Linked DNA regions of Caenorhabditis elegans. The protein of the gene in region 1 purifies or fractionates together with the protein of each later gene. This does not show direct contact. Each region holds a gene or a part of one and is shown on either strand. Other genes may lie near its edges.

The links.
Region 2: the proteins of fbxb-108 (region 1) and nssp-59 fractionate together in Caenorhabditis elegans (co-fractionation; one large-scale study listed by BioGRID). This does not show direct contact.

The regions. Positions count from the first base shown.
Region 1 is NC_003280.10:2,763,015-2,766,815, reverse strand, and holds fbxb-108 (F-box domain-containing protein), read right to left. Parts: upstream 1,853-3,801; 5' UTR 1,848-1,852; coding exon 1,768-1,847; intron 1,724-1,767; coding exon 811-1,723; 3' UTR 770-810; downstream 1-769. Other genes in the region: F08D12.15 (F-box associated domain-containing protein), read right to left, coding at 1-185; fbxb-106 (F-box domain-containing protein), read right to left, coding at 3,339-3,801.
Region 2 is NC_003283.11:8,639,961-8,643,441, forward strand, and holds nssp-59 (Protein quiver), read right to left. Parts: upstream 1,407-3,481; 5' UTR 1,385-1,406; coding exon 1,159-1,384; intron 1,109-1,158; coding exon 1,053-1,108; intron 999-1,052; coding exon 906-998; intron 857-905; coding exon 749-856; 3' UTR 636-748; downstream 1-635. Other genes in the region: acd-4 (DEgenerin Like), read left to right, coding at 1-41, 84-229, 273-437, 485-625; asp-13 (Peptidase A1 domain-containing protein), read right to left, coding at 1,660-1,806, 1,850-1,969, 2,019-2,147, 2,194-2,442, 2,490-2,573, 2,725-2,854, 2,920-3,230.

The DNA.
Region 1 (3,801 bases):
TCTGGGAATAGAGAAAAATAGGTGATTTTCTTGTGTTGATCATTGTTGATGCAATTCTCCAGCATAGTCTTTGGGACGGTTACTGAATCGCAAGACTGCAAGTCCCAATTGAACACGGACATGTTTTGTAGAACATCTTGAATGGTTTTGTTAGGAAGACGAAGAATAGGGAAACTGCCAGTCATGACAGTAGGAGACACGAATGAGCACAAAAAAGGAGCTGTAGACAGATGTTGTTTCGATCGATACGGTGTATTCTTAGTAGACAATGACGACTGCTGAAATAGTCCGAGTCCCCCACCCCCGAAACATAATTACAGATGGACCACATTGATGACAAAGACTCGCCTGGCCTCTAATATACCCGTCAGGGGTGTGCGGTAAATTTGCCAAATTTGTCGTTTGCCGAGCTCGGCAAATTTGCCGATATTGCCGAGTACGGCCAATTTCAAAAAAATGTGCCGCACCCATCAAAAATTTAACAATACAATTTTGACCAACAGTATTGATTTTGTCCCCAAAAATTCAATGAAATGACACAAAATTGAGTTCTTTCGATGTTAAAGCAGACACACTACACGGAACTTATTCGGAAATATGATGTGTCTTAAGAATTCAATAGTTTTGGTGCTCCAAAAGACGGCAAAAAATATCACATTTTTGGGGGTTGGTAAGAACGGCAAATTTTGATATTCGGTGCACACCCCTGGTCCCCGTGATCCATTGGTTTTCGGATGATGACTGGCCCGCTGACTCGGAACAGAACAAGAAAAACGTTTTTATTTAACAATTATTTCAAACAATATCATTTCATACAATAGCAATCTCAATTGACCCATCATGTTGAGTCCACTTCCAGGTTAAAGAAATTCTTCTTTCATCGTCTTGATTTATCATGCAACAATCTCCACTTTGATAATTGTCGTCTTGAGACACAAGTTTGCTATTTCGATAGCGTGAATGAGGGATACCGTTCATCAAAACTTTCACGTCGTCCCAAGCTGGTCCTTGAGGAATTTTCAGAAACTGAGCACCTATCAGTGTTTGATTCAATCCAGTCTTCAGATGTTTGAGGAATATATTCAAATCTTCGAACGCCAATTGAGAACTTCTAATTCTTAGGTGGGTGCTGTTCATGATTAAAAGATCGTTCAAATTAAAATTATGCTCCGGAAAGCTTGCAGAAAATGAAAAAAAGTTTCGAACAAGTATTTCATGATTCAGCGAGGACGAATTCGAAATGAGCTTCTTGTTGAATGATATACCTTTGTGTTGAATACTACATATCACGTTTTGCACAATTTCGTCTGTCCAATTTTTGAGAAAAATTTTTCTTGCCGTCAGTCCTTTCATTGCTTCGCATACACGTTTCAAGTTCTGTATGCCCATTACGCCATTTATATGAACTTCGAATATTTTTGAATGATTGAATATTTCCATAATATGATCAATACAATCACGCAGTCCAAATCCTTTTATCTCCCTTACACTTTCCGTTCCGAAGAAATTTGTGTCGAATTCGGTGGCGATTATAGAACCGCAAGATTGCACGTTCCACAGGTCAAAGTTGTACTTGTAAAAACTCAAATAAGTCATTACACTGTTGGATGAGAATATATGTATTTTAAGTGGGTGGTCGACAGTAATATTGATTTTCCGAATTTTATGCCTGAGAGGCGTCACGCAAGACTTTGTTGCTTTGGAGCATAACGAGAAGGTTAATCTGAAAATTGTAATGCCAACGGGTATAAATATTAGAAAACATACTGATTGTAAAATGACAGATTTTCAACAACATTCCTAATTATCTTGTTAGGGAGGCGAAGAATCGGGAAACTGGTAGCCATGGCTGCAAGAGACACAAATGAGCACAAAAAAGGTGCTGTAGGCAGATGTTGTTTCGATCGATAGTTATAAGGCGTACTCGTAGTAGACAATGACAAGTGCTAAAAGATCCCGAGACCCAAGGACCACATTGATGACCAAGACTCGTCTAACCCCCTAGTATTCCTGTCATCCGCTGGTTTTGTGATGAGTGGCCCTTGACTCAAAATAGACCAATAAAAACCTCTTTTTTTTTAAACAATTAAACTCATACAACACCCATCACAATTAGAGCCAATGGCGACTCTTCAGGAGAAGCCCGCTTTGCCTGTGTGAACTGAAACAAGAACTGAATGAATTTCTCTGTAAAAAACCCTTTTTGGTTCTGAGGTTATACCAGCTACCTGTAAAGCACAATTTTTATATCCATAGCTTTACATGTATCCAATATCCAAATTGAAGAAAATAACGGTTTTATTCAAAAAGAGGTTAGCTCGTATCTGGGGCATGGTACAACAGCCTATTGATCATAACAATATAAGAAAATTAATTAGAATTAGTAAGCTCATACAAAAAAAATAGAAACAACACCACTACCATTTCTAAGCAGCCCCCAGCTCACAGCAATTTGCTTCCCATCGCTTCGCGTAATCATGCACAAGTCGCCACTTTTAAAGTTGCCGTCTCGAGGTACAAATGCTCCTTTATCCGAACACATTAAATGTTGGACACCTTTCATTATTAGCGCCATGTCCCAAGTTGGTCTTTCATTAATTTGCAGAAACTGAGCAGATGTCAGTGTTTGATTTGATCCATTTAACAAACTTTTGATGAAAATGTTCAAGTCTTTGGAAAACCAGTTGCAATTGATCAAGTGTAGAGTTGAACTGTTTATGATCAATACATCGTTTAACTGGAATCTCTGTGCCGGGGGAGAATCGGGAGGTGAGGTCGAATTGAAGTTGCGAGCAAGTATTTAATGACTCTCTTTTGCAGATTCCCAGTTGAGCTTCTCGTTGAGTGAAATATTATTGTATTGAATATTACCGAGTGCAGTTGTTACAATACTGTTTGACCACGACGAAAAATCAATTTTCTCAGCTGCCAGTCTTTTCATCGCTTCGCATACTTTTTTGCAGTTTTCCAGGCCCACGGCGCCATGAATATCTACATTGGAAATTTTGCTATAATTGAATAGGGCTTAGGCTTAGGCTTAGGCTTAGCCTCAGACTTTGGCTTAAGCATAGGCTTGGGCTTAGGCTTAGGATTAAGCGTAAGTTTAGGCTTAGGCTTAGGCTTATGGTTAATCTTAGTCTTGGGCTTAGGCTTAGGCTTGGCGGGGAGGAAGAGAGAAAAAAGAATTCCAGAAAATTCAAGAATTCAGGGAAAAAAACCAAAAATTAGACACTCTCACGTCTAACAAAAAATCATGAAAAAATATCCGAAAATTGCCCAAAAAAAGCACCAGATTAAAAAAATGAGAGTTGGATCAATAAACAATTTATTCAAAAACATTATCTACCAAGAATTACAATATGACAACTTTCTTCAACAAACGTCCAGACCAGACCAAGGCTTTTTCCATTGTTCCGCGTCGCCAGAAAATAATTCTCATTTTCCCAATCACCTCCTCGAATCACGTGTTCAAACTGCGGCGAGTACACAATAAAAGGAACATCCTTCATGGCAATCTTCTTGTTCCAAGGTGTGCCGCCAATTTGGATTAATTGAATATTTTCCAGCATTTGATGGGATCCATTGATCAAATGTTTGATGTAAATATTCAAGTCTTTGGAAGAAATTTGACAGCTGATGAGTTTCGGTAACGAGCTGTTTATGATGAGTAGATCATTCAAAGTGAGCTGGAATCCAGGACTAATAGATGCAAACGAGGCCGATTTGAAATTCTGAAGAAGTACTTCATGGGCAGGCATAGGGGCATTCCGGCTAGGTTCAGAAACAAACAATGCATCATTG
Region 2 (3,481 bases), on another chromosome or scaffold:
ATACTCTCAAGTTAAAGCAACAACTATTTTGAATACTTTCAGTGAGTTTTTTGATTACTAATGAAACAATTTCTGAATTTTAGATAAAATATTTGGTTTGAACGGTTTGTGGTTTGGAATGTCAGTTGTTTCTTTAACTGAGCTAATTCTATACTTCACGAAAATCTCGTGGATCGCTGTATCAAGTAAGCGAAGGCAATATCTTTTTGAGAAGAAAATGTCGGAAAAGGTAGAATTCTAGAAAATTCTTCCAATTACAAATTTCATTTCAGAGAAAGGAAAGAAATATCGAAGAAGCTGTACAAGAAGCTGAAATATCTAGATCACGAAGAAGCTCAGCTGCAAATTTGAAATTTCTGGATATTGAAAGTTTAGATGATGAAGATTACTGGTACAGAAGCTCGAGCCAACTTTCGGATAGCCATTTGGACAATGTGGTGAATATAAAAAGGCTCAATAGTTAATTAATTTTTATTTTGTTTAGATTCAACTCGCTATTGACTTTGAAAAACCCCTACAACGTCCTTCCGCGATTAGTCTTCCAAGAATATCGGAATGTTGTGAAGATTTTGAAGAAGAGGATGAAGACGAAAATAATGATCTGGGAATTATTATAAAACTATGAAAGATTCATTGATCTCAAATTTTGAATTTATAGTGAAAAGCAGAAACCCAAGCAATTATTCTCAAGCTACATAAATTACTAATTCCCAATATTTTTCAACAAGAAATATTTCTAACATCATTCTCAAATTGATTTGTAGAACCAGAAGAACACAAATACTGTGGTGAAAGTCATTGAAACGGCCGTCGAGGAGTTGCAGAAGTCTTTGTCACAATAGCAATCGAGGCGCTCCTACAAACATAAAGTTTGAAAACTGTGCTGTAAAAATAGCGCAACTTACAGTAGTATATCCAGTTTTCTTGACCTTTTGGTTCAAGTCAAAACATCCGTTTGATGGAGTCTGATTGTTGTCTTCGCGAACGCTAGCGCATCCCTGAAAGTTAGGATCAGTTGCATACTTTTACAAGTTTATAAAAAAATTAGATACCTTTGTGTATGAAGTCCATTTGAAATTGATACTATTGAAGCCAACTCTGTGGATTTCTAAAAAGAGAATGGTACCAGTGATTCGTAAAAAAAAACAACAATCATACTTGCTCTTTTGATACAAAATGTTCCATTGGTACAAACATCGGCACCGGACGTTGCTTTACAATCTCCGTAGTACTTATCAGGGCTGATATTCAGTTCAGTGAACATTTTCTTTGTTAGCTTAGACATGTTTTCCTGACCTCCGCATTGATGGCATTGGAGCGGGTATGTTGGAGTTATAAGAAAAATTAGGAATGCGAAAAAGAAAAAGTAAAAATTAGAAGGCATTTCGAGGAAGTGAATGAGTCAAAAAATCAGAATGAGCCAAGAACTTGAGACGCTCCAAATTTAAAGGAAAACGTTATAGACAAAGACCTCCATGGATACGCGTCAAGTGACTTATTCATGTGTACAAACTACGTTTCCTCCTCTCATTTCGATGGTCCATCATCTTTTCATTTTCCACAAAATACGAAAATAGCAGAAATCACAGGACAAGGAACCACAAAAACAAAAGAAACATCAGAATACGAGAATATGAATGTATGTATTTATGAAAGAGTCTATGCAAGAGATAAACAGAATCCAACACGTTTCTGTCCGATATCATGTACATTACAATATTGTCTCATGAATGGTCCACCGAGAATCCATGAAGGTCCGAAACCAGCATAGTTTTGTGGAATTGCAGCGAAAAGGCAGGAGTTTGTCTGTAAATTATTCACATAATTTTTGATATGTAGCAAAACTTACATCAATCTTCAAAATGTAGTTATTTGCTCGAATAACATAGTTGAATTGGCCAATTTTCATCTTAATTGGCCCCGCGTCGGCATCACAAGGAATGTTAAATACTTGATTTGTTGGGTCCCACTGAAACAATTTGTAATTTTTAACGCAATCACAGAAAGTACATGCTTACAGTAGCTCCTGCAGCTTTAGCCAAGTTGTCAATTGCAGCTTGAGGTCCACATAGAAATGAAGTAGCGGTATCGGTGATTACCTCATATGTGGTTGTGGATACATATGAGCCAAGAGAAAATCCGGTTGCCTAGAAATTCAGAAAAAATACAAAAATCAAAACTCTCCAGAAATACCTGGAACTGAAAATGTCTAGCATTAGTTAGTTCCGCATATCCAATAACTGGCCCACAATGGTTTTTATCCAATCCTCCATAAGTGAATGCACCACTTGCAGAAGTTCCAGGAGCACCTCTCTGACCAAACCATGTAGTGAAAAGTGGCTGATCAAGTAGTCCTTGATTGATAGCGTTGATGATTGGAGGGGTAATGTTGTCAACAGCTAATGCAGTAAATGCAAGACCAAAGATTCCCTCTTTTGGGCTCTGCAAATGCAAAATAGTGAAAGTGAAGGAACTTGAAAAAAACGAACCCATTTGAAATCTGATCCGACAGTGTCTGCAACACCAAGGTATGATCTTGGAATAGCGAGTTGTGCTTCTCCTGATCCACCGATCTGAAAATTCCATTTTATCCTAGATGACTCCAAGAAAAGTTATTCACAGTACCAGACACGAATTTACTCCTAATTAAATTTTTGTTAATACTTTTTTACAATTTATTTATGCATTTAAATATGTAAAATTTCAGAATTTCCATCAAATAACCTTAACAGTGTCAATTCCCAATGTCCCGTAGGCATCACCGCTAGCATATTTGATCTGCCATGGGCGGTTGGTTGCAATATATGTGGATGAAGCTTTTTCATTAAATAATCTCTTTTTCTCACAGTACGTTCTGTAAAAAACTTTCGAAAAATTGTGATCACAAACGTTATTCAATTTCAAAACAGGAATACTAACGTGCAATTAGTTCCTGGAATTAAGAGATTGGCTGATCCGGTATCTAATACAACAATAAAGTTTTGATCAGGAGTTCCAACAGTAATATTTCCCATGTACTCATAGTACACATAATCTGTTGTGCTTTGAACCACAGTAGCCAGGTTAGATGATCTACTAGCAACCATACGGTCGCGGTACTCCAAATAGGCAGGATATTCTCCATTTCTGATCATTTCAATCATTCTAGATTCTTTCCATATTAATTGATGTTCGAGGACTGCAGCCGTCGAAGACCCAATAAGAAGGAAAATAATGGAAATAATACCCATTTTCTGAAAAATAAAAATAAATTGAAACACTGAATGAAAAAATAATTATTCTCCGCTGAAATGGGAAAGAAAACTAAATAGGGTTATCGGCGAAACATTCTAACTAATTGAATTCACTGATAACATTGCAACATCAGATTATGAACTCTGATACTGTGTTTCAGAATATTTATTTGAATTGAGTCTGATAAATGGATTACCGTATTTTCCCTACGAGTTTTTTATAATTCAACTTTAGATGTCAGATTCAC